Canis lupus familiaris: one gene and its partners. The protein of the gene in region 6 interacts with the protein of the main gene of each other region in a pairwise test. Links are inferred from orthologs where the notes say so. Each region holds a gene or a part of one and is shown on either strand. Other genes may lie near its edges.

What was found.
Region 1: the proteins of FATE1 (region 6) and KCNS2 interact in binary tests that used the Homo sapiens proteins (3 or more experiments, as listed by UniProt). The two-hybrid records come from large-scale screens. The link is inferred for Canis lupus familiaris from reciprocal best matches to the Homo sapiens genes FATE1 and KCNS2.
Region 2: the proteins of FATE1 (region 6) and KASH5 interact in binary tests that used the Homo sapiens proteins (3 or more experiments, as listed by UniProt). The two-hybrid records come from large-scale screens. The link is inferred for Canis lupus familiaris from reciprocal best matches to the Homo sapiens genes FATE1 and KASH5.
Region 3: the proteins of FATE1 (region 6) and SYNGR1 interact in binary tests that used the Homo sapiens proteins (3 or more experiments, as listed by UniProt). The two-hybrid records come from large-scale screens. The link is inferred for Canis lupus familiaris from reciprocal best matches to the Homo sapiens genes FATE1 and SYNGR1.
Region 4: the proteins of FATE1 (region 6) and MARCHF5 interact in binary tests that used the Homo sapiens proteins (3 or more experiments, as listed by UniProt). The two-hybrid records come from large-scale screens. The link is inferred for Canis lupus familiaris from reciprocal best matches to the Homo sapiens genes FATE1 and MARCHF5.
Region 5: the proteins of FATE1 (region 6) and INPP5K interact in binary tests that used the Homo sapiens proteins (3 or more experiments, as listed by UniProt). The link is inferred for Canis lupus familiaris from reciprocal best matches to the Homo sapiens genes FATE1 and INPP5K.
Region 7: the proteins of FATE1 (region 6) and BIK interact in binary tests that used the Homo sapiens proteins (3 or more experiments, as listed by UniProt). The two-hybrid records come from large-scale screens. The link is inferred for Canis lupus familiaris from reciprocal best matches to the Homo sapiens genes FATE1 and BIK.

Annotation. Positions count from the first base shown.
Region 1 is NC_049234.1:728,009-732,062, forward strand, and holds the start of KCNS2 (potassium voltage-gated channel subfamily S member 2), read left to right. Parts: upstream 1-1,254; 5' UTR 1,255-1,276; coding exon of another isoform or gene 1,277-1,927; intron 1,928-1,942; 5' UTR 1,943-1,984; coding exon 1,985-3,418; 3' UTR 3,419-4,054. Other genes in the region: proline-rich proteoglycan 2-like, read left to right, coding at 1,277-1,927. UniProt on the Homo sapiens protein: Potassium channel regulatory subunit that modulate the delayed rectifier voltage-gated potassium channel activity of KCNB1 and KCNB2 by altering their kinetics, expression levels, and shifting the half-inactivation potential to more polarized values.
Region 2 is NC_049222.1:107,757,135-107,760,634, forward strand, and holds part of KASH5 (protein KASH5), read right to left. Parts: intron 2,040-3,500; coding exon 1,962-2,039; intron 1,705-1,961; coding exon 1,648-1,704; intron 1,340-1,647; coding exon 1,280-1,339; intron 676-1,279; coding exon 611-675; intron 449-610; coding exon 361-448; intron 59-360; coding exon 1-58. UniProt on the Homo sapiens protein: As a component of the LINC (LInker of Nucleoskeleton and Cytoskeleton) complex, involved in the connection between the nuclear lamina and the cytoskeleton.
Region 3 is NC_049231.1:26,653,415-26,656,914, reverse strand, and holds part of SYNGR1 (synaptogyrin-1), read left to right. Parts: intron 1-911; coding exon 912-1,149; intron 1,150-2,454; coding exon 2,455-2,600; intron 2,601-3,500. UniProt on the Homo sapiens protein: May play a role in regulated exocytosis. Modulates the localization of synaptophysin/SYP into synaptic-like microvesicles and may therefore play a role in synaptic-like microvesicle formation and/or maturation.
Region 4 is NC_049249.1:6,950,792-6,954,291, forward strand, and holds the end of MARCHF5 (E3 ubiquitin-protein ligase MARCHF5), read left to right. Parts: intron 1-87; coding exon 88-204; 3' UTR 205-3,055; downstream 3,056-3,500. UniProt on the Homo sapiens protein: Mitochondrial E3 ubiquitin-protein ligase that plays a crucial role in the control of mitochondrial morphology by acting as a positive regulator of mitochondrial fission and as an important regulator of immune response.
Region 5 is NC_049230.1:45,609,638-45,613,137, forward strand, and holds part of INPP5K (inositol polyphosphate 5-phosphatase K), read right to left. Parts: intron 198-3,500; coding exon 11-197; intron 1-10. UniProt on the Homo sapiens protein: Inositol 5-phosphatase which acts on inositol 1,4,5-trisphosphate, inositol 1,3,4,5-tetrakisphosphate, phosphatidylinositol 4,5-bisphosphate and phosphatidylinositol 3,4,5-trisphosphate.
Region 6 is NC_049260.1:120,980,317-120,984,403, reverse strand, and holds the start of FATE1 (fetal and adult testis-expressed transcript protein), read right to left. Parts: upstream 2,801-4,087; 5' UTR 2,706-2,800; coding exon 2,600-2,705; intron 1,577-2,599; coding exon 1,449-1,576; intron 1-1,448. UniProt on the Homo sapiens protein: Involved in the regulation of endoplasmic reticulum (ER)-mitochondria coupling. Negatively regulates the ER-mitochondria distance and Ca(2+) transfer from ER to mitochondria possibly implicating it in the regulation of apoptosis.
Region 7 is NC_049231.1:23,375,692-23,378,672, forward strand, and holds the end of BIK (bcl-2-interacting killer), read right to left. Parts: intron 2,820-2,981; coding exon 2,712-2,819; intron 2,058-2,711; coding exon 1,940-2,057; intron 1,058-1,939; coding exon 968-1,057; 3' UTR 501-967; downstream 1-500.

The DNA of each region.
Region 1 (4,054 bases), on a different chromosome or scaffold from region 6:
TACGAAAAGGGCTGAACGACCAAGGGGGGAGGGTTCCCAGAGCTGTAGGTCCATTTCTCAACTCAAGCTCAAGCCCAACAGGCAGTGACTTAAGGAACAATCTTTGGGGACCAAGAGCTCAGATTTGGGCCACAAGTCTCCTGGGGAATGGGGACACAGATACTGAGCTCATCTACACTGGCCCATACCTGGATGGTTCCCATGGTGTCTACAGGCACACACTTCTCATTGTGTTTTACACAGACCCTGTCAGTCCCACTGAATGCTACACTATACAGCACACAGTCACCCATTGTGATGCATACACTGACATGCCCTATATCTCCTGTTCTGACATACTGTACACACCTCCTCACCCTTCACAGTTTCCATTTTTATCAGCACTGCACATGCAGACATTGAAAAATCCTACAGCCCTCAGACTTACACACACACACAGCCCCCACCATCCTTTAAAGCCTGCACACCACACCGGCCTGTGCACTATACACAGGGCGTCCACACAGAATTCCCCGAAAGAACCCTTTGCTCCCCAGGAGGTGGATCCCGCCCCTGGCAAGCTAAAATGAGCTGACCTCAGGCTTCCCTGCCCCTTTCTTCCCTCCCGCTGCCTTTCCCCAACGCCCACCCCCAGCTTCAGGAAACTTTCCATCAGATCCCTAAAAGGGGAAACCCGGGCTTCCTCGAGCCCTGCCCCCCCAGGCTCACGCAAGCTGCCCCCCCTTCCCCGGCTGGGCTCTCACCGGCACCCAGAGGGGAAAGGTCACCGTAGGCGGTCCCCTGCCTGCGCCCTGGGAGTGAACAGCTGTCACCGAGACCTAGGGGAGGTGCCGGCCCCGTGTCGCCGCAGGAGCGCAAAGGGGTCGCGGGGACGCTCGGGTCGAGCGTCGAGAAGCCGAGGCGGCGGCGGCGGCGTCTCCCGGGCCCGGGGCGGCCGAGCCTGGCGCTGGGGCGCGTGGAGCTGTCCGTTCAGCACCGGCGCGCGGCGCCCCAGCCCCACTCCCGCTCCGGCTCCCGCGGGCGCGTGCGGCGCGGGCCGCTGCCTCCCTCGGGGGCCGAGGGGCACGCAGAGCGGGAGGAGGGGGCTCTGCGAGCTGCGGGGCCGCGCAGCCACCTGTGAGCCTCCCGCGACCACGAGCGGCGGCGGCATCTCCGGCTGGACGCGGCAGGAGACGCTTGGCGGACCCCGCCCGCCGGCCCGCCGGGCGCACACACACAGGCGCACACCCGGGCGCACCCGCGCGCACACGCACAGCCGGCCGCGGCGGCCGCGGCGATGCCGACAAGCAGGTCGGGGAAGTTTCCCGCCGGCCTCGGCCGCGGGCCCCCGTGCTCGCAGGTAAGCGCCTCCAGAACGCGTGGGGTGAGCCCTGGCAGCCCGCTGGGTAAGGCGCGGCGCACGCGGCCCCGGGGCACCGCGCCAGGCGGGCGGGGAGGCCCGGGGCGGGGAGTGAGGGGCTTCCGTCTTGAGGGCCGGACGCAGGGGATGCCAGGCTGCCCGCCCCCAGCCTGGGCTGGCGGACCCAGGCAGCGAACCCCCCCCCCCGCCCCGGGGCTGCGCGCCGCCACCCCGCTCGGCCCAGCCCGGCCGTGCGCATCCCAGGGACAGTCCCGCCGGTCTGCGGCGGGCGGGCGGGGGCGTCTCCTCGGCCCGCCCACGCGCAAGGTCGGCTGCCTGCCCCCCGGGGCTCTCAGAGTAAAGCGGCCCACGGGACCCCCGCGGCGAGGGTGCAGGCGCGGCCACGCTCCTGGAATTCTACCCCCTCCTCCCGAGCCTTTCCTGGGGAAGGGGCCAAACCGCACGGGCCTCCCCCGTCCCGGAGCCCGCAGGCCTCGGATGCCCGCCCGGGGAGGGCTGAGCCGGCCGGGGACGCGCGGCGGAGAGGAGGGTCCCGGTCCCCGAGCGCCCCGCGCTCACGAGGCGTGACTCCCCCGCCCGCAGGTGTAGCGCCGCCGCGCGGCACGGGCGCCGGGAGCCTCCAGCATGACCCGCCGGAGCCCGTGGGACGCGAACGAGGCCAACGTCGAAGACGGGGAGATCCGCGTCAACGTAGGGGGCTTCCGGAGGCGGCTGCGCTCGCACACGCTGCTGCGCTTCCCGGAGACGCGCCTGGGCCGCCTGCTGCTCTGCCGCTCGCGCGAGGCCATCCTGGAGCTCTGCGACGACTACGACGACGCGCAGCGCGAGTTCTACTTCGACCGCAACCCCGAGCTGTTCCCCTACGTGCTGCACTTCTACCACACCGGCAAGCTGCACGTCATGGCGGAGCTGTGCGTCTTCTCCTTCAGCCAGGAGATCGAGTACTGGGGCATAAACGAGTTCTTCATCGACTCCTGCTGCAGCTACAGCTACCACGGCCGCAAAGTGGAGCCGGAGCAGGAGAAGTGGGACGAGCAGAGCGACCAGGAGAGCACCACGTCCTCCTTCGATGAGATCCTGGCTTTCTACAGCGACGCCTCCAAGTTCGATGGGCAGCCGCTGGGCAACTTCCGCAGGCAGCTGTGGCTGGCGCTGGACAACCCCGGCTACTCGGTCTTGAGCAGGATCTTCAGTGTCTTGTCTATCCTGGTGGTGCTGGGGTCCATCATCACCATGTGCCTGAATAGCCTGCCGGACTTCCAGATACCTGACAGCCAGGGCAACCCTGGAGAGGACCCCAGGTTCGAAATTGTGGAGCATTTCGGCATTGCCTGGTTCACGTTTGAGCTGGTGGCCAGGTTTGCTGTGGCCCCTGACTTCCTCAAGTTTTTCAAGAACGCCCTAAACCTCATTGACCTCATGTCCATCGTCCCCTTTTACATCACTCTGGTAGTGAATCTGGTGGTGGAGAGTACACCGACCTTGGCCAACTTGGGCAGGGTGGCCCAGGTCCTGAGGCTGATGAGGATTTTTCGCATCTTGAAGCTGGCTAGACACTCCACTGGCCTCCGCTCCCTGGGGGCCACCCTGAAATACAGCTACAAAGAAGTAGGGCTGCTCTTGCTCTATCTCTCTGTGGGGATTTCTATCTTCTCCGTTGTGGCCTACACCATTGAAAAGGAGGAGAATGAGGGCCTCACCACCATCCCCGCCTGCTGGTGGTGGGCCACCGTCAGTATGACCACTGTGGGATATGGGGATGTGGTCCCAGGAACTACGGCAGGGAAGCTGACCGCCTCTGCCTGCATCCTGGCAGGTATCCTGGTGGTGGTGCTGCCCATCACCTTGATCTTCAATAAGTTCTCCCACTTTTATCGGCGCCAAAAGCAACTTGAGAGTGCCATGCGGAGCTGTGACTTCGGAGATGGAATGAAGGAGGTCCCTTCCATCAATTTAAGGGACTACTATGCCCATAAAGTTAAATCCCTCATGGCAAGCCTGACGAATATGAGCAGGAGCTCACCAAGTGAACTAAGTTTAAATGATTCCCCACATTAGCTGAGAGGACTTGTCATCTTCAAACCCACACTGCTGAGTTGCCTCCTGTGCCTCTGGCACAGTTCAGGCACCTTGTGGTTATGGTGTAAGAAGTACGCCCAACCCTAAAGGGGAGAGATGCATGGGATATGCACCCCAGGTTGCTTTTACAAGTATTTAGAATCATTTTTAGAGGGTGTTGTGTCAGACACCATGCCTTTGCACCCTTCAATGAAATGACACTCACTGGTCTTTGCTTTGTGGGCATAAAATGTTCACCTTTCTGCCAGAGGAGTACCACCCAGAATGCTAATTTTTCTGTTTATTGTGTGCTCTACTCTAGTGCTCGTGGCCCAGTACTGTCTGTGAGTTGTTTGTGCTCTTGTCTCTGAGGTTGTCATGTGAGTTTTGTACAAAATGCTCCCACAAGTCCATCCAGTGAAAACACATCTGTGGGTTCAGCAAGAACGTGATGGGATTTTTGCTCAGTCAGGTGAAAACAAAATCTCAGTCCTTTAGCCACCGCTTTCATTTAGTTTTGTTACCAAAACAAAGAATGTGAAGTTAAGCACACATGACCGATGCAAGTCCGTGTGTTGTTTTTACAAATAATCTGTAGCTCTGTGGCTTGCATGGGCACACGGGTCACCTTTAGGA
Region 2 (3,500 bases), on a different chromosome or scaffold from region 6:
GAGGGCTTGAGAGAGCAGCGGCTGCCACTTCTTGTTTCTGGGAGAGGAGAAGTCCTTTCTAAGGCCAGGGAGGGCCAGGTGAAGGCAAAAGTCGGGTGAGAGATGGGGATGGAGATGGGCTGAGGCATTGAGGCATGGGGTGGGAGGAGACAAGGGGCTGGTGTGAGGCTGGGCTGGGAAGCGGGTAGAGGCAGGGCCTGGGAAGGGTTTGGCAGCAGGACCAAGGATGGGGGTGGGGATGATGTAGGTGAAGGATTGAGATGGTCCTCGTTGGGGGAGGATGGGGTATGGTGAGAATCAGGGCTGGGTTAGAGCCGGGGCTGGCAATGGGTTGGGGTGCTCCCCAGGAGCCAGGCCCACCTGCTGAATGGCCTCAATCTCTACACCCAGCGATGGGGGCAGCAGCCTGGTCCAGCCCACTCTTCTCACTTGGGCCCCTTCTGATAGCCTGGGCACATGGTCAAGAGGGGAAGGCTCTCTTTGTGCCTGCCCACTACCCATCAGTACACCCCCTCTGGGGTGGCTACTTTGCCCACATTGGGGCTGGAGGTCAGGGTTCCCGGCCTTGGGGCTCCCCTCCTACCTCCTCTACCCCTTATGTTCCACTCACTCATCTGGCCCCTCCTGGGTCTGACTCAGCTTCTCTTCCAGGTGTGAGATTTCCAGCCTCAGTTCCTGCAAAGGAGGGAGTGGGGGACCCCTGCCCCTCTGTTCTTCTCCATCTCCCAGCCTTGGGCTCCTCCGACAGTCAGTTCCACTCCCCTGATTTCCCTGGGCTCCTCCAGAAGCGTCTTGCCCAGGGACAAGGGGAAGAGAGCAGTGACAGAAACTCAGGAAGCCAAAGAGAGCTAGAGAGCAGCAGGAACCCAGAGGGTAGCCCACCAGCCAGGAAGATTAAAAACAGGATACATGGCCACAGATTCACGGAGAGGTAAAAGACTCATGAGGAGTAAGAGACTCAGAACCCTCAGAACCCACAGAGGGGAGAGTTATCCCTAAAGACAGATTAGATCAAAGAAAGGCAGGCACACAGAAAGATAAGCAGGGGAGATGCAGTGGTGACAAGACCCTCCCAGAGAATGAAACTGGACCCGAGATGGAGTTACGCAGGGTGGGAGAGAGAGGAAGGAAACAAAGGGCAAGTGAAAAGGTAGAGAGAGAGACACACACAACTCCAGAAAAAGAGAGACAGGGGCAAGAGGAGGCAGAAAATCACAGAGATGGCAGAAGAGTGGGGCCAGGCAGGGGGCCACGGGTGGGCAGGAAGGCAGTCGGGTACCTGGGTGGTTGTTCTGTACTCCTCCAACGTCTTGGCCAGACCCTCAGCGTGGTGAGTGCGCTGGAGAAGCCCAAAGCCCCCTGAGACTGGGCCCAGCCCCGCAAAGATGCTGAGGCAGGGCTAGGGGAGACTGGCAGGGTGAGTCTGAGGGAAGAGCTTGGGCCAGGGGGAAGAGCGCCAGGTTTCTAAATCCTGCAGGGACATACTTGCCACCCTGGGTGCAGGGAACCCTCTGACCCCTCCAGGCTGCTTATCCAGGGGATGAGACCCAGGCAGGACTTCCCTTTCCAGACCTTGGGGCAGGGGCAGGGGATAGCCGGGAGCACATGGGAGGTAAATGTCCTTCACCACCCCCTGGGGCCTCTCACCTCGGAGAGGACAGCATCTCGTTGGCAAATGAGGCGTTCACACTCACAGAGCTGCCACTGCCAAGGAAGGAGCCTGTCCATCTGTCCAGCCTCCTGGGACTGGCCTCAGCTAGTGCTGCTGCCCTTCCCAGCCCACCCAACTCTCCCAAGCCCCTCTCAACCTCCCACGATGTCTCTGGACATGAGCTATCCCAAGAGGGATTGCAGCTGAGCTGCCCAGAGCCCTGGGAGCCTGATGGCTGGATGAAGGCCCCGGCTTTCACGAGGCCAGAGGGGCTGAAACTGATAAAATGGCCACCAGGGAGGGGTGGCACCTTCAAAGCCTCCTTCTCTGTGGCCAGCTCCTCACTCCTCCTTTTGACTCCATCCCGTTCAGCCAGCAGCTTCCCGTTCTGGAAGAAGGAAAAGACCCGTCAAGTCCACTTCAGCCAATGGGAATATTAGTACCCACAGCTGGCATTTTCTCAACCGCTGACATGCCATGACAGGCCTCGGGCACTTTATAGGTTTGGGTTCATTTAACCCCTCCACCCATCCTATGAGGTCCCAGTTTGATTTCTCTGTGCATCATTGGGTACACAAATGTACTTCACAGGGCTGGTAACAGTATCTGCTAGCCTGTCCTGAACACCTTGCAAGTGTTACCTCATTTCTTCTGCAGTATTGTGAAGGTAAAGACAGGTTAAGCAACCTCCACCCCTAGCCCACCGCCTGCTTCCCCACCCCCCAAGTCATACAGGTGGTAATTCATGCAAACACACGCTACTAAGCACAAAGCATTCAGAATAGCACCCTGCACTTATGGAACGATGTTCAGGAAATGTAAAATACATGTTTTTAAGATATTTTCAAAACTTCATGTTTTTCACACACACATGAGTAAAAATACCAGTATAATGGACTCCCACTACTCATCAGCCAACTTCAGTAATTATTTACATTTCCCTGGTTTCTTCCCTATCCTCCAAGGTTTTTTTTTTTTTTTGTTTGTTTGTTTTGTTTGTTTGTTTTTAAAATATTTATTTATTCATGAGAGACACAGGGGGAGAGAGAGAGAGAGATAGAGAGAGGCAGAGACAAGACACAGGCAGAGGGAGAAGCAGGCTCCATGCAGGGAGCCCGACGTGGGACTCGATCCTGGGTCTCCAGGATCACACCCTGGGCCAAAGGCAGCGCTAAACTGCTGAGCCACCTGGGCTGCCCTCCTCCAAGGTTTTTTGTCTTGTTTCGTTTCACAGATGATTCTAAAGCAAATGCCAGGTATTCTATTATTTCTATCTGGAACGACTCTCGGCATTTTAATTTCCTGCTTAAGGAATTTTTTACTTTACCAAACTCACAATACCAACTATCACTCTTAACAAAAGTAATAATTCCTTACTATCGCATATAGAATTTGTTTTTTTTTTTTTTTTTTTTTTCATTTTGGTTGTCTCACAAGATCTTTTCACATTGAGTCTTTTACATGAGGATCCAAACAAGGTCTGCTGTGGTTTTTGGCTGAAATGTCTCAGTTCTTTTCCTCTGACAGTGGTTGCTCACCTCCCCGACATTTTGGGGGCCCTTCTTTTGTTTAGGAAATCAGGTTATTTGTCCTGTGGAGTTGGTGCATTAGGATTTGGCTTCCTGAGTTCTCATTCTCTGTGCTGGATGCTCACCACATTCCTCCCACCTCTTTACTTCCTCTGCAGAAGTGGGTAGCTCCAGGGCCCTGACCAGGCTCCCGTTCAATCTTTTGGCAGGAAGATTTCACGGGTGCTGTACACGTCATATTGCACCATTCGGGAAGAATGTAATGTCTGGTTGTCCCAACTGTTAATGTTTTTATTGGCATCACCCCTCCCCCACCTCTT
Region 3 (3,500 bases), on a different chromosome or scaffold from region 6:
CAGAGGGAGAAAACTCCATGCATACTCTCTGCTGAGCACAGAGCTGGCCACAGGGCTTAATCCCAGGACCCAGAGATCATGACCCAAGCCAAAATCAAGAGTCCGAGGCTTAACCAACTGAGACACCCAGGCGCCCTTACTTTTTTTTTTTTTTTAAGATTTATTTATTTATTTATTTATTTATTTATTTAGAGAATGCACATGCATGAGAGTGTGCGTGCGTGCACGTGAGATTACATGAGCAAGGGAAGGGGCAGAGGAAGAAAATCTGAAGCAGACTCTCGGCTGAGCCCCCGGGAGCCCAGTGTGAGGCTCAGTCTCCCAACCCTGAGCTCATGACCAGAACTGAAATCAAGAGTCAGATGCCCAACCAACCCAGGCATCCCTAGTGATACTTGTTCATTTATTACACCTTCCATTTGCAGGGCCTGGGCAACAGGGAAGAGTTGGACCCAGGGACAGGATCTGGGGCTCCACAGAGGGGTGGGGAGCACAAGCTGGGGCTGGGCAGGTCCATCTCCCAGAAGGGCATGACACCACTCAGGAGGCCAGGTCCAGTCCCGGAGGAATTTTGGTGTCAGGGTGCAGGAAGACCTCTCAGGACCTGGGTGGGGGAGCAGTAGGGCCGGACCTGTGGTCAGAGGGTCCTTAGTGCCCAAGGCTGAGGAAGGAGGTGATCGTCCCCTCCTGTGCTGTGCCACCCTAAGCGAGTCGCCTGCCTTCTCTGAGCCTTCCCGCTGAAACGCATGCTTAACTGCAGCCCTGTGGCCATGTGGGGTGAAGAGGGCTCACTGGGGCAAGGGTCGGGGCAGGCAGCAGGCTGCCCAACCGTATACCCTTCTCCAAGCCCAGCGCTGGCTCGAGGCCCGCCTGGACCTCACGCCCGGCCTGGCCTGTCCCCACCCTGACAGGTGTTCTCCATCGTGGTGTTCGGCTCCATTGTGAACGAGGGCTACCTCAACAGCAACTCGGGAGGCGAGACGTTCTGCATCTACAACCGCAACCCCAGCGCCTGCAGCTACGGTGTGACCGTGGGTGTGCTCGCCTTCCTCACCTGCCTGCTCTACCTGGCCCTGGACGTGTACTTCCCGCAGATCAGCAGTGTCAAGGACCGCAAGAAGGCCGTCCTGTCTGACATTGGGGTCTCAGGTGAGTCCCCCGCCCCAGTGGGCGCCCCCTGGCTCCGCAGAGCCTGCCGCGGGCCGTCCTCCCACCTGCCTTCTCCTGCTTTCCAGATGAGGAGGCGCAGGTGGGTGAGGGGACCAGCAGGGGTCACGTGGCTGGCAGCAGGGAGTGGGGGGAGCGGGGGTGGGCCCGAGTCCCTGGAACAGCCCTCGGCTCCCCAGCAGGGAGTGGACAAGGCTTCCTGCCCTTCAGAGGTCTCTCTGGGCCACCTCGGGGGAACCATGCGACAAGTGACGCAGGGCTGCTGGCCTTGCGCTGTCCAGGCCCAGGGAGGGTGGGGACCTGACATGACCTGCTGCCCCTGTCCTCCGGAAACAGCCTTTGGCAGAGATGACCCGACCTCTTTCCCTGCGAGTTCTGAGAGTCTGATCACTGGGTGCTTTGGTTGAGGGGCAGGGAGGTCTCGGGTCTCACGTCTCTGGCTGAGACCCCACACACACCCCCAGTACCGGGCCTGAGACTCTCAGGATGAGCCTGGCTGACTGTAAGCAGTGAGGCCAGTCCCTGAGACTGGAAAGCTAGAATGACACGAATGGTTCTCAAAGTGTATTCCACGGAGCCGCTGGGTTCCCCAGCAGTGCCCATGTGGGAGATGTTGGGCCCTAGACACCCCAGCCCTTTGGCACACACGTTATCTGAGCAGCTCTGGGGAGACTCTGGGTGCCCACAGAAGATCTCATTGCCACGAACCTCCCCCTGCTAAACTCCCCAGGCCTCGGCTCTAGAGGTCCCTCCGTAACCTCGGGCTTTGGGCTTTGGGAGGCTGCAGGCACAAAAGGCAGTGCTCAGACCACCCCCCCCCGCCCCCGCAGCCTCCTTCTACCCACTTCTCTGGGAGGCTGCAGTGGGTGGGTGGGCTGGGGCCTCAGATCTGTGCTCCTCCCAGAATGCTGCAGGGTGGTCTGCGGTCCCCAGGCAGGGATTCAGCTGGGAAATCTGTGTTTGGCTGAGATGACAGAAATGCCCGCCCAAGCTGACTGACTTTTTTTCTCTGTTTCTCCTGCCTTCCCTCCCCTTACCGCCTCTGGCTCTCCCCGGGGCTGCTCCTGGCCTTGCTGTCTGCACGGCCGACCCCTTTCTGTGCCGTCTCTCCCACTCTGCGTCTGACCCACCTTCCCTCTGCTCCCCTCTCTGCCACATCCCTGCCCTTGCCTCTCCCTTTGGGGTTTGGGGAGCATGGGAGACGTGCTCCCGAACCTCTCCCTGTTCCTCCCCACTCACCCTCTCTCACACCTGGCCCCTTCTGCCTGGCCCCGGTGGACACCCCAGCCTTCTGGGCCTTCCTCTGGTTTGTGGGCTTCTGCTTCCTGACCAACCAGTGGCAGGTGTCCAAGCCCAAGGACAACCCGATGAATGAAGGGACAGATGCGGCCCGAGCCGCCATCACCTTCTCCTTCTTCTCCATCTTCACATGGGTGAGTACACGGCCCACCCCACCATACACCCGCACTCGCCCACCCCAGCCAGGGTCCCGAGCTGGTGGCCTGGTAGCTGAGCTGGGGACTCCATTCTGCTTCCTGGGGCCCATACGGCCCCCTGTTTCTCTCCTCGACACTCACATGAGCTGCTTCCTGAGGAAGGAGGCTCTTGCCAGTGCCAGCAAGGACAGTCACCTAGGGCCAGTAGACCCGCACTTTGGCACAGAGCACCCCTCCAGTGATCACAAACGTCCCTCCCAACCACTCTGGCAGTTGGATCGTGGGCGTTTACTATAACCTGTTACAGACACAAGCAGGGACCCAGACGGGAAGATATGGCTTTGCAGTTCCGAGGCTGGGAAGGAGCCCAGGCCTAGGCGTCAGGAAACCTGGGCCACATCGTGGGGTGGCCTCCATCTTCCCATCTGTAAAATCAGGAGATTGAATTTGGGGAGGGAGGGTGTCACAAACCCAGATGCCCACGGGGCAGGTGGGCAGCATATGAGGAATGATGAGTGGACCAGGTGGCAGGTACCTACCCCAACAAAGGGCACCCTCGACCCCTGTTCCAAAGCAGAAATGGGGATCCACACAGGCCAGGTCTCCTGTTTTCCAGAGAAGCCAGAAGTCTGAATTTCTGTGTGAAATCTGATCTTTATGTATCAGTAATTTATTCAAGTTAAAAAAAAAAAAAATACTGTGTGGGTCAAAGAATGTCTCTGGGCCCAACTGGCCAGATGGCACCTCTTCCCCTCTGCAGGCTCCGGACCAGGCTGGGCCCCTTCCCCACTGGTTCCAGGCCGCCTTGATGTATTCTCTTATCATCTCCCTCCTGCAGATATCTGGGGTCACCTTGGCTCCAGGCTCCCATCCCAAGGCTTCTCCCCCCACTGCGCA
Region 4 (3,500 bases), on a different chromosome or scaffold from region 6:
TGTGTCTCTAATAGATAAATAAAATCTTTTAAAAAATAAAATAAATAAATCTGCATTATAAAAAGCTAATTTTCCTTTTTATTTTAGGGTGGAATTGCTTTTGTTGCCATAAAAGGAGCATTCAAGGTTTACTTCAAACAACAGCAATATTTACGTCAGGCACACCGCAAAATTCTAAATTATCCAGAGCAAGAAGAAGCATAAAACTTTGACTTCTAGTTATTCTGCAGTCCTTTCATCCTTAATGAGTCTGTTGTGTTGTTCTGATTCCATCATTAATGCACAGTAGTGGAGACTTATGATAAGCTGCTGCTCATATTTTTAAGAAATATAATAAAGCACTTAGGGCAGGGGAAATCCTCTCAGTAATCACGGAACCTGAGGTTGTGATTTGTTTTCATTGTTTTGTATGTACTTCTTTTATGGCAGTCATCTGAACCATTATCTTAGCATGGTAAACCTGGGTTTTGTTCATATTTTCTCCAGATAGAAATGTAAAGATCAAACTGTGCAAATATTTAAAAATGCACATGCTGTTTTATTCAAATGCCTCTTTTGTACGTGTTCATGTTCAGTGTTTTCTTAGAATCAGCAACTCAATGAAGGTACTATGAGGATTTTTCTCACTGGCATAATTTGATTACATGCTAAACAGGAGTATATGTTAATATGAGGATATGTAAATTAGTTATAAAAAATAACAAACCAAAAATGTATGTAAACATTCAAATTATTATCTGAACAAATGCGATTTTGTTGTGTTTTTCTGAACCCATGTGACGTCCTCCAAAATGTGTAGGGTAAAAATTCACAGGGCTTCCAAATCACTTTTTCACTATTAAATTTTATTTATATAATGTTGACATCTCATAGTTCATAATGTAATTTTGACTCATATAGTCATAATTACCGTGTGTGTGTGTGTGTGTGTGTGTGTGTGTGTGTGTGTAAAAGAGAGGGAGAGAGTCATCAGGTCCTTCAATCACTGGAGTAAGGTTTTTAAATCCATATTTCTAGAAATTAGAGCTGTCAGTTTATAGTAGTTTGAGCACAGAGAACGATTTGCAAAAAAAAAAAAAAAAAAAATCAATAAAGTTCTTTTACTCTTCTCTTTCATTGATTCAGTTATTCAGGTATTTGTTGATCACCTCCTATTTGCCCAGGCATTATACAAAGTGCTGTGGGAGACAATGGTGAACACGACAGACTTGGTTCCTGCTTTTATGCAGTTTACCGTCTAGTTTCAACAGATAGAAAACCAGCAGTGAGTAAACCAAGGTGAGGCCTTGAGCTCTTTGTTTTTATACCAGTCAGTGAGGAGATAATTATGAAAACAAGAAGTCTTGAGTAAATATTGAGGTTATTGTTTTTGGCTTAAATCAGTTTATTATAAAAACCAGTACTAACATTTTTAGATTTTAATTGCTTGTCATATTGATGAGGTTAGCACCTTAATCACTGTAACTAGTTTTATGTTCATTTTTAAAAAGCAATTATTTATTTTAAGCCATCTTTAATAGTGGCCTTTTTAATGTTGTTCAGCAATCTGGATGGTCTTGCAGTTATTTTCACTAATTAAAATTAAGTTTTTAAAAGATAGTTCCAAAAACTGTATTGAATTTCTTGTTCACAGTATCTAATGCATGACAATAATTAACGTTTCCCTTACTGATAAGTGGCCACTTCTTTTTAGGAGTGTAGCAAATATAGATTGAGCTATGTTAGATTGCAATAATGTATGTTAACTTTAGTAATTTAAGACTGGTACCTTTCTATAGTATGAATGTCTTAATTCTGTGTTATAAAGTTTATGTGAATGGCTGTTGAACAGAGTTGTAATTATTTTGGGAGGAAGGGAATATTTGACTGACAGTGAGCCTTATTAAGAACACTGCTATAGTTCTGAAGGGGAAATATAAAATCTATGATTATATATAAAAATAACTTAGATTATATAGCTGTAATTATAAAATATATTGGCTTTTCTTTAATTTTCAATATAAGAAAGACATAGTAGATATTTCCTGCATAATTTTGTTATATAGAACAACTTTTAGGCAGCCTTTAATAAAATTATACAAGCACACCGTTCCCCAGTTACTACTTTGTGGCCAAGATGGAGGGAGTAGCTGTTTACATCTACTGGCATCAGGGCTCATGAGTGCCAGAAAAACAACTCTAATCCTTTTGGGGGGTGGGTGCAGCAGGGAGGGGTTTCTAGGGCTGTGGGGAGGGAATTGCAAGTGCCTGGGAACCAGAGAGGCCTCTAGCCCTGGAATTTAACACTCTTAAATCTAAAAAACCTTAGCTCAGAAAGTACCACATACCAGTCTTCAGAAAGGTGACCTATACCACTATGAACAACTTAAGAGCTGACTAAAGTTGATAGACCTGGGTTCCAATTCTGATTCTGCTTTTACTAACTGGATGTATGACAATGGCCAACTGGCTGTCTCTCAGCTGCAGTTTTCTTCATCTCTGAAATACAAGTAATACTTCTATCTCAGAAGACCATTTCTAGGATTAACTGAGAAAGGAACAGAGGCACTTTAGGCTTGAGACAGGCCCTACAGAGCAGTAGCTGTTTCTTAATTGTTAAGTAGTCTTTTCATGCTCTAGGAAAAGGGAATGAAGAGGTAAGAGAATGGTGTTAGGAGACAGATTAAAGGGATGTTGTAGACTTTGGGATGGGTAGGTATATTGTGTTTTCCAGTTGGGTTGGGTGGGTATATTTTGTGTTTTCCCATTTATTTTCACATTGCTTTACGGTGTTATTTCTATAAACTTCAATGTTTTAAACCTCTTTTATAAAATTCAGTGACAACTAGTAGAATTTTCTTCTTTGCAGAAGTTAACTTATCTCCAAAGTGGCTGAAAATATTGTTCATCAGTACATGATTATCAAATGACTGTGAAGAATATAAAATTAAACTTAGTGACTTAATTAGTCACTGCCTTGCTAACTGTGCTGTAATTTTTTTAAACGTCTTGTTTTTAATATAGCAGACTATCTCAATAGTGGCTGGATTAGGTTAAATAAAGAATTTTTATGTTCTCTAGGTGTACTTTGTCTGTTGAACAATTTCCAAAGCATAATCTGTTAATTCTGTACCTAACCAATTTTTTAAAATTTTAGTTATCAAGATACTAGATTTTTCTTTTAGTAAAAATCTGAAATTTTAAAAAACTAAAGAGGAATTGTCTTAATACAAGCAGGCTAGCCTAAATTCCAATTATGTTTTGATTTTTTAAAATGTATACTCAGCCACTTGAACTATGATTAGATAAGCAACCACATACAAGATATGTGGGTGGCCTCATGCTACAGGGTATCTTAAAAGTATATTCAAGTGGGTTAGAAACACATTTAAAAAACAAGTTGGGGGATGCCTGGGTGGCTCAGTGGCTGAGCATCTGCCTTTGGCTCAGGGCATGATCCCTGTTTAGGGATCGAGTCCCACATCAGGATCCCTATGAGGAGCCTGCTTCTCCCTCTGCCT
Region 5 (3,500 bases), on a different chromosome or scaffold from region 6:
GGAAATTCACCTCCAAGTCAAAGGTGCTGGTGACAGGCTTATGGTCACTGATGCAGTACATCATGTGGCTGACATAGCTCCTCAGAGACAGGCAGAAGTGGGGGACTGGCAGCCTCTGGTTGTGGGGATTGGCTTGGGGCTGCCGCTTCAACCTCCATAGGATGCGGTCGGTCCATGCAGGCTTGCGCTTTTTCTCACTGGGGGTGGAGGAGGAAAAAGAATGTGGAGAAAAGGGTTGGCAGGAGAGCAAGATGGGTTGGCAGGAGAGCAAGATGTACCCCAAACAAGCCTGCTGGAACCCCGAACATCAGGGTCTATTGGTGGCCCCAAGACCCCTGGGCCACAGTGGGAGTGTGGCATGGTAGTAGGTAGGAATCAGAAGCATACTGGCCTTTGTCAGAATCAGTCAGGGCCTTTAGTCAGGTCTACATTTTTATGAGTCAAATTGTGATCTAGAAACATTCCATTTCAAAGCCTTTCTTACTTCTAGAACAAAAACAGCAGTAGACCAAAGAAGCTGAGGCTAGGACTTTGGAGTCAGAGGTAAGCTGGAATTTGGCTTCAATTTCACTAATGGTGAGATCTCAGGAAAAGAAAGGGAAGCACTTCAGGAGGTTCACCATGTGCCTGCCGTCAGTACCACCTGTCCCCCTCTCACAGGTGGAGAAACTGAAACTTAGTGAGGAAAGAACCTTCACAAAGTCACATGGCTACTGAGTGGCGGAGTCAGGATTCAAGGCCAGGCAGCATGACCACAGAACACAAGTTCTTAACCACCAAGCTAACCCCTCTTAGGCCTCTGCTTTCTCATCCATAAGATGAAGGTAATAATAGTTACCCCACAGGGTTGCTGACATGATTAAATGAAATAGGGCACATGAAATATTTAGCACAGTGCCTGGTACAAAATAAGCTCTCTGCGCTTCGTTCTTAATAGTCAACTGAGAGATCTCTGGCCTGTTCTTTGCTTAACCAGCTTCACTCACTCAAGAGGCCGTATAGCCCCTGGAGACTGGAGTGCTTTCCTCCCCTAGGTTACTTTTACCCAAGACAGGCAAGTCTCTGACTCCTAACACAGCTATGCCCAGTCAGCTATTGAGGTGTTTTTTAAGACTGGCTGGGCAAGCAGGCTGTGCCCTCCAAGGGGAGACCCCACAATCTGGAATGGCAGTGGAAGCAGTTGCTGTTCTGGGTTCCTCCCCCTTGATTTTAAATGAACCCAGAGTAGTAAATCTTAGTCAGATGGTTCCCCACTTTATTTATTTATTTTTGGTTCCCCACTTTAAAACCTTTCAGGAGTTTTCACTGCCTCCAGAATAAGGCTCAAGTCCCCAAGGATGGCTTTTTTCCTGACACCCTTCCCCTTCTCTATCTCCCCGTACCGTCCCAGACCCGTCCACACCAGTGACTCTCCAGCCTCTGGACCTTTACTCTTGCAGTTTTTGCTGCCTGGAACACCCTTCTTCACAGAGAGAGGCCCAATTCCAATGCTGTCTTTGTCTGAAAGCCGTCTTTGAGCTTTGCTTTCTGCCCTCAAAGCATTTTGTACCAGTGCTTCCCCTATTATGTTATCCAGTGCTGTCGTTTCCTGTTTCCCAGTCTGCAAGTTGGCTAGTGTGAGCTCAGAAGGCAAGCACGGGCTCTCAAGGTCTCCTGCACAGCCTCAGCTTTAGTACAGAGCCTAGCACATAGTAGGCACAACTGCTTGTAGAACCTAAACTAGCGACTCCTGGGTGGTCCAGCGGTTGAGCGTCTCCCTTCAGTTCAGGGTGTGATCCTTGGATCTAGGATCTAGTCCTGCATAGGGCTCCCTGTGGGGAGCCTGCTTCTCTCTCTGTGTCTTTCATGAATAAATAAATCTTTAAAAAAAAAAAAGAAAAAAAAGAACCTAAACTAAAACCCCAAACTCAAATCTCTCTCCTCAAAAAACGCCCATCCAGGGCAGCCCCAGTGGCACAGGGGTTTGGCGCTGCCTGCAGCCTGGGGTGTGATCCTGGAGACCTGGGATGGAGTCCCACATCAGGCTCCCTGCATGGAGCCTGCTTCTCCCTCTGCCTGTGTCTCTGCCTCTCTTTCTCTCTGTCTATGAATAAATAAATAAAATCTTAAAAAAAATAAAACTCTTCAATAACTTTATTTTATATTTTTTTAAGATTTTATTTATTTATTCATGATAGAGAGAGAGAGAGAGAGGAGGAGGGAGAAGCAGGCTCCATGCTGGGAGCCCAACGTGGGACTCGATTCCCGGACCCCAGGATCACCCCCTGGGCCAAAGGCAGGGGCTGAACTCTAAGCCACCCAGGGATCCCCTCTTCAATAACTTAAAAAAACAAAAAACAAAAACGCCCATCCAATCCTAATGTATACAGTTTCAGATGCTGATAACCAGTTTGCAATGCTATTTTTCGCCTTCTGTTTTATTCACTTACTGTTTTAAATAAACATTTCCGACATACTGTTGTCCATTCAACAGTAATACAGTCTTCTAGCAACAGAGGCAGAATGATGTCTCGCTGGTAAAGTCTGACTCAGACACCAGGATTTGGGGGAAGGTTCTGCCCTGTTAATTAAGAGCTATGTGGTTCTGGTTGGTGAACACGTGACTTAGAGTGGTGGGCTCAGAGGGCATGGAAGCTCCTTGCCTTCTCGTCACACCTTGCCCTAGGCACCTTTTCCATATTCCTGTTCCTGAATTATATCATTTTATAATTAACTGGTAATCTAGTTTAAAGGAGAAAGGGAAAAAGCTACATGCTCATGGGCAAGTGGCTTCACTACTGCCAGCTTCAGCTCCTTCAGCTCTAAGATGGGGTGATAACAGTACTTCCTTCAAAGAGCCATTAAGAGCTTAAACAAATTAGGGTGTGTCAAGGGAGTGGTCAAGAATCACTAACTGGCTCAGGCTCCTCGCGTTGTCTGAACCTTCCACTCTTCTGAGGAATGCTCAGAGCTATTCTGCAGAGTGCTATTTCCACCCCAGACATGACAGACACAGAATCTCCGAACCCACGTATCTGGCAATGCTTAAACTTGGGAATGAACCACACAAAGTACCACTCTCCCTTTCAAAGCATTGCCCCACCCCAACTTCCCTATATGGTGACTTGTTGTCACTTCAGGATCCTCCTTAAGTCCTGACCACTGCCTGTCTTTCCTTCCTCCTTTTCCAGGGCCTGCCCAGGCTTATCACTGGGCACCTGTATGCTTCAGTCTTTCTTTTTTAAAAAAATATTTTATTTATTTATTCATGAGAGACACAGAGAGGCAGAGACATAGGCAGAGGGAGAAGCAGGCTCGATGTGGGACTTGATCCCAGGACCCTGAGATCACTCCTCAGATCACCCTGAGGCAAAGGCAGGCACTCAACCACTGAGCCATCCAGGTATCCTGCTTCAGTCTTTCAATGAAGATTTACTGAGCCCTTATTATGTGCCGGGCAACTGGGCATCTGAAAAATGGGACTGACAAGGTCCTCAAGGACCTTTGTCTGAAACAAAGTT
Region 6 (4,087 bases):
TTCTAAAGCTTTCCCTCCCTCACAGTGAAAGTGTGGAACAGATTGGATACAGAACTTGAAACTCAGATGACTCCCTTCAACAGTCAGGTCCCTCTCCTCTCCAACTGGGTTCTCTTTTTCCAGCAACTTTTGCAACAGTATAGCAACCATGTTTCCAAAGCTTCTTCTCACTTAGCAGTGAATGTAACCTAAAGGATTGGCTACACAGTGAGAGATCTCACGGGATTCCCTAGAACACTCAGGTCTCCCTCCTCTCCAAAATGACCACCTTTTCCCAGTATCCTTTGTAACAGTGTACCTGCCAGTTTTCCAGAGCTTTTCTTAACCCACATTAAAGGTACTTTAAAGGATTGGCTACATAATGGTCAGATTCAATTGATTGGATTTCCTAACAGCCAGGGAACATAGGAACCTAACTTGTCTTAATCTTTTTCCAGACTTGAGAATCATATTGTTTTATGTATGTATATTTCTATTTAATAGCGTAGATGAGGTCCATCTACAGTATCAAGGATTACTAATGTCTTTTACTTAAAGTCCACAGAGTGTAGATGCTAACTAAAATTCCAAAATGATGGGGATCCCTGGGTGGCTCAGCGGTTTAGTGCCTGCCTTTGGCCCAGGGCGCGATCCTGGAGTTCCGGGATCAAGTCCGGCGTCGGGCTCCCGGTGCATGGAGCTGCTTCTCCCTCCTCCTGTGTCTCTGCCTCTCTCTTTCTCTCTCTATCATAAATAAATAAATAAATCTTTAAAAAAATAAAAATAAAAATAAAATAAAATAAATTCCAAAATGCCTTCATGGCAACACCTAGACTAGTGTTTGATGGAATAACTGGGAACTACAGGCTACCCAACAAACAGGTAAACTTGACCCTCATAGTGATCTAATCATTAGGGAAGCTGAGGGAGAATTTGGACTTAGACCAGAGACTGTAGGACCTGTATGGGGACAGTGGGGCCTCCAATGGCTACAGACAGATTCTTTCTTTCCTATCCTTCCTTCCTTTTATTCATCAATGATTCTCATGATTCCAGGCTGATTATTTAGTTGATAATTAAATAATTTATATAGTTATAATTTATATAGATAATATAGATAATATAGATATGGAAGGAAATATACATATAGAATTATTTATTTATAAAGGAAAGTGTCATTTCACACACAATAGAGTTTTGCAAAATAAAGTGTATATGTAGTCCCCAAGGAATATGTGAATCCGGTGTTCTGGAAACCCAAGGTTGAGCTCCCAGCCTACCAAAGGATGGCCCTGACCTCTCAAAGGACATCCCTGCCTTCATTGCCTCACTGGTACACAAAAGCTTTTTCCTTTGGCCCCAAGTCAACATCTGGCTCTGCTCAACCTACCGTCATGAAGCTGGAGCCCCTTTAGTCTGTTGTCCCAACCCCAGCCTAGCCACTGCATGCCAAGGACTCCATACAGTACCGCTTTCTTGCTCCGGTTGCCAGTCATATTCCAACCCGATTGACCTGCAGCAGAGCCAGCAGCCTTTGGATCCGCCTTCTGTCGCCGCTGAGAAGCACCCACAGACTGGGATCCATGCTCCATCATTTCTAGGCAAAAGAAGAGAGGCCCCAGAAACACCCATAGAGGCTATACCAAGGCTTCCTGGACACAGGACACACCAGAAAGAGGATAAGGTACCCAAACTTCTTAGGAGTCATTCAATATTCATTCACTGTTGTCCCCTGGCAGATCCCAAGCCTCAGTCTGTTCATTTGTTTAAAAGTTTAGTAAGTATTTCTTGAGGGCCAAACTCTGGGCTAGGTTACTGGAGGGAGAGCAATGACCAAGACACAAGATCTCAGCAATCTAGTAATCAACTGTCTATGTGTGCTTAGCTGAAGTGAGGGGTGCAAAATGGGTATAATCTATCAGTGTTAACTCAGATCAAGAGATACATGCTCCCAAAATGATAAGAACAGGGCAACATGGTGGAAGGAAGGGCTACTTCTAGAAAAGCCAGAAACACCTGTGAGGCAGAGACCTGAAAGACAAAAATGATGGCAGCCATGGAAAATCTAGGAAAACAGCATCCCAGGCAGAGGTAGCAGTCAACACAAAGGCTATCAGGAAGAATCAGCCTTCGGGTCTTATGAGGACAAGTATAAATGCAGTGTGCTGTGGGTCATCATACCACAGCATGAAATATATTGAGGAGGTGGCATTGGCTGGCTCTTGTAGATCAAGGAAAGGAGTTTGGATTTTACTCTAAAGGAGGAAAAGGCATTAAAAAGGAGAGAGAATTGGTCTGAATGATCTTATAAATTGAGCGCTCTGGATACTTTGCCATAAACACAGTGGTAGCTTGGACAGGGGGAGATAAGGACCACACATGTGGATCCCATCCTACTCTCTCACAGGCTTCAAAATGCTCACATCATCAATACCTTTCCCCCCCAGCTTCCTGTTCATCAAGGCACAAATACAGGTATACGCACACCAAGGCACAGACACACACATAGCCACACATACTTGCATATATATGACTCTTCCCAGCCATGAACACACCTTCTCCAACACATGTGACTGGGTGCAGACACCCAAAGGAAAGGGACATTACAGGGGCTCCTCACCTGCTATCACCAGGTGCTCCTGGCTTTTCCCATAGTTTCCAGGAACCAGCTCTTCAGCGATGGATGTTTCCATCTCCTCCTTGATAGTAGGGGGGCCTCCTGCCATCACAGCTAGCGCTTAGCTATTAAGCTATAGCCAGGATACACAGGAAGCCGGGCACAGAGCAGACTCTTGGAAAGTCTGCTCTTCCAGGGGCAGGAGCTCGAGGAAGATATATCTGGCCATGGGGGTGGAGCCACACTCTCCCACAGGACTCAGGCCTTGGACCCAGCACCTTGTGTTCCTGTTGTATCTTATTGGCTTGGTTCACAGTCTTCTCCCCTGCTACTCTGTAAGCAACTTAGGAGGAGGAGTTTCTGATACTTATCTCAGAAACTTTGCCTGTGAGAACTACCCTGGCTCTCGGGTCACATGATTTGGCCCCATTGAGGGGCCAGTGGGATCTACTCTCCATCATTTCTAAAGAGAGGTAGATACTGGCACAGGACCCCAAAGCCAGTCAGTAGCCAGAACAGGGTTAGATCCCAAACTTGTTGTGGCTTCTGCAAGCCCAGCTCTGGCAAGTATTTCAGGCCACAGCTCCCCTCAGGAGGCATCCTCTACAGAGCACATCTTGTTTCCCCCCAATGTAGAGTTCCCAGGGGAGATGGCCTTTTAATGCCTTGGGTCAGTCTGAGCAGGAACCATGAGAATCTAAGGAGGGAAGGGCAGGAAAGAAGGGATCTACCTGTAGCCACTGGAGGGCCCACTGTCCCCAGGCAGGCCCTGCAGTCCCTGGTCTAAGTCCAAATTCTCTCTCAGCTTCCCTAATGATTAGACCACTGTGAGGGTCAAGTTTATCTGTTCGTTGGGTAGCCTATAGTTCCCAGTTATTCCATCAAACACTAGTCTAGGTGTTGCTATGAAGTTATTTTGGAGCTTTGGTTGACATTTGCACTCTGTGGACTTTAAGTAAAAGACATTACTAATCCTTGATAATGTGGATAGGCCTCATTTAATGAGTTGAAAGGCCTGAAGAGCAAAGACTGAGGTTTTCCAGCGAAGAAGAAATTTTGCTCAAGAATGCAACATCGGGAAACAAAAGCAAACAAAAACTCCTGGGACTAAATCAGAATACAAAGCTTTGGCACAGTAAAGGAACCTGTCAACAAAACAGAAAGGCAACCTAGTGAATGGGAAAAGATATGGGCAAATGATGTATCTGAGAAGGGGTTAAAATGCAAAATATATAAAGAACTGATACAACTGTCAGCACTAGAAAAACAAAAAAATCCAATTTAAGAAGGGGCAGAGGACCTGAATAGACTTATTTCCAAAGAAGACATACAGATGGCCAACAGACATGTGAAAAGATGCTCAGCATCACTCATCATCAGGGAAATGCAAATCAAAACCACCATGAGGTATCACCTCACCCCTGTGAGAATGGCTAAAATCAACAATACAAGAAACAAGTGTTGGTGAGGACATGGAAAAAAAAAGGAACC
Region 7 (2,981 bases), on a different chromosome or scaffold from region 6:
CGTGGGCACGGGGCTGGAGCAAGGGGGGGCCCAGCCCAGGGCTGGCATCTGAGACGGGAACTGTGGTGGGGCAGGGGGACAGTCAGAGCCCAAGTTCCAGAAAGAGGACCTGACTGGGTCTAGAAACAGCACTGGGCCCAGGTCTGGGGCAGGCTGGACCCTCACGGGGGTGCCCCTCATCTAGCCCCTTCTCCCTGCAGGCCGCACTGTCCAGCGGGGAGTGCTGGATGAGCAAACCTGGGGAGGGCAGGCAGCCCAGCTGTAAGACTGAAGGCCCAAAGGAAATAATCCCTAATGGTAGATTCAGGCACCAGGCACGACGAGAGAAGGCATAAACCTGATTGTGTTGGGCCAAACTTCACGACAGCAGGTGCAGGAAAGAGCCTGCAGGTGTGTGATCACGTACAGGTGCTTGCACACGCCCGCCCTCTCTCCCCCTCCCCCTTGAGTCTCCAGCAAGGGGCCAGAGCCGGGCGGCAAACCCCAGAGAGGACCAGAGACCAGCTGGAAACAACATTTTATTGAGCTCTCCTCAGCCATCAAATCTATTCCAGCAGATTTTCTCTTCGCCCAGGGGCCTTCCCGACATGGGGGTGTGGCCAGCACTCCCCCCCCAACCCCCGCCGCCAGAGGAAGGCTCCAGGCTCCTTCCCTGCCGGGTGGTGGTGGCAGTGACAGCACCCAGGCCACCTCAGGGGCTGAGGCCAGGAGAGCGGCCCAGCCAGGCCTTGGCGCGGGCAGTTAACCAGTAACGACCCCCGAGGTATAATGAATTCATTTCTCTTACAAAAAAGAAAGAAAAAACTAGTATGAAACCTCAGTAGTGTCCCAGCACTCGGAGTTTAAATATAAAAAAAGGGATCAGCAGAAAACAGTTAAAAAAGACAACAAAACCAGCAAGGCCACCTCCAGGGTGGCGGTCGGGCGGGGGCGAGGCCAGCCCCGTCCCCAGCGGCTCCAGCTGGTATCACTGGAGGAGGCGGAGGCCCCAGCCTAGTAGCAGCACCAGCAGCAGCAGCAGCGACAGCACCAGCCCGCGCCCCGGGTTGGGGGACACCTGTGGGATGAAGGGCGGGAGAGGTGAGACCTCCAGCCGGGGCCGGGGGTGCTCAGGTGCCCCCCACGTGTGCTCAGGGGCACGGGGTGAACCAGGGTGGCTGAGAGGGTGCTGGAGAGTGGGTCAGGGAGGCGGGGACACAGGAGCGTCTCCGGACAGCACAGCTCACAGGTGGGGACAGCACCCAGAAGCCAGAGCACAGGTGGGCCGGGGAGACGGCCCGGGAGGCGGCAGAGGAGAAGCCTACCCAGGCCGCCGTGGGCACCAGTGGGGGCTGAGCTAGGGTAAGGGACGGTCCCCGGTGCTGCTGGGACAGACAAGGAGGGTCGGGAAAGAGGCTCAGGAGAGGCACCTGCCGGGCAGAGGAGCGAGGATGGTTAGGGAGGCTCACGCGGGGCTGGTGAAGGTGCTCCCGGGGGGTGGGTGGGGAGCCGGAGCATGGGTGTGGGAGCAAACACGCCTGAGAACTGGAGCATAGGGTGGGGGGCAGCCCAGGAGGCTCAGCGGTTTAGCGCCGCCTTCAGCCCAGGGCATGATCCTGCAGGCCCGGGATCGAGTCCCGCATCGGGCTCCCACACGCACGGAGCCTGCTTCTCCCTCTGCCTGTGTGTCTGCCTCTGTGTGTGTGTGTCTCTCATTAATAAGTAAATAAAATCTTAAAAAAAGAAAAAAAGAACCGGAGCATGGAGCTGATAAACCAGGGGTCTCCAAGCTGAAAACCGGGAGAAACGAGGGCAAGCAGGCACCACAAGACAACGGGGGGCGGGGAGGAGCAGTCTGTGGCACCCGAGGACATGCTCTGCGGGGCAGCAGCTCCGTGGCTGCAGGTGTCACCGCAGGCAGGCGGGTAAGTCAAGGTCACAGAGTTCACGGTTCATTTACCCTGTTCCGGAAGGTCAGGAAGCTCCAGATGCGGATGTTCTCCCTGAGGTTAGCAAGACCATCCAGGAAACTTCTAAGAACACCTCTCAGGCCTGTCTGGTTGTAGGTAAAAGCCAAGCTGTAAGACAAATGGGCAGGGAAGCAGGGCCATTACTGCAGGGAACAGGGGCGGAGATGGCCTTTATTTCAGGGGACCCCCGCGGGGAGAGGAGGGCGGCGTCCCCTCCCCCCCACACCACTCTACCCCCTTCCCCGGGTGGATCCACCAGAGGTTCTCTCTCCACGGGCCATTTCTGGTCCTAATGCATCTGATTTCCTGTTTCCTTCCCCTACCCACCGGCCTACCGGGGGTTTTGGTCTTGGGTTCTGGAAAATGCTCCACTGCTCACCGGCCCAAGGACCTGCCGGTCCTCCCTCCGGAGGATCTTTGCTGTGATGGAGGCCCAGGCACCCCAACAGAAGGCTGCCTCCCTGGGGACCAGGAGACCACAGTCGCTCTGGCTTAGGGGGAGGGTTTCCACATCCCCACCTTGAGAACCCAGAGATGCTGGCAAATGGTGGAAGTACACAGTGTGCTCAGGACAGATGCCTCCCGGCAGGACACACGGCTTCGCCAAGCTCACCACTTCCTACCAGCACTTTAAGTCAAGACCCTTTCGGAAAAGCACAGTCTTGGCTTGATGAAGAGGCAGAGGAAGGCACTGGGTTGTGCTTAGTCTGTGGCCCAGGGGCAGGGGCGGGGCAGGAGGTGGAGGGCTGGGGGGGGCACCACCTGTACATGGCCATCCCGGGCAGCTCGCCAACGCGGGGAAGCATCCATCTCACTTCCATCTCGTCCCCGATGAAGGCCAGCCGCATGGCCACATCGTCGGGGTTGTTGCTGTGGGGAGGGCACAGGGAATTAGGGGTGTGGCCGTGTGGTGACCCCCATACACAGGCCCACCTGGCCCACCGGGCCCCGGATTTGTGGGAGGCAAGGGGCGGCACAGAGCAAGGTGGGGGGCAGGGAACCTTCACATGCCCCTCCCCTGGCCCCCACTTT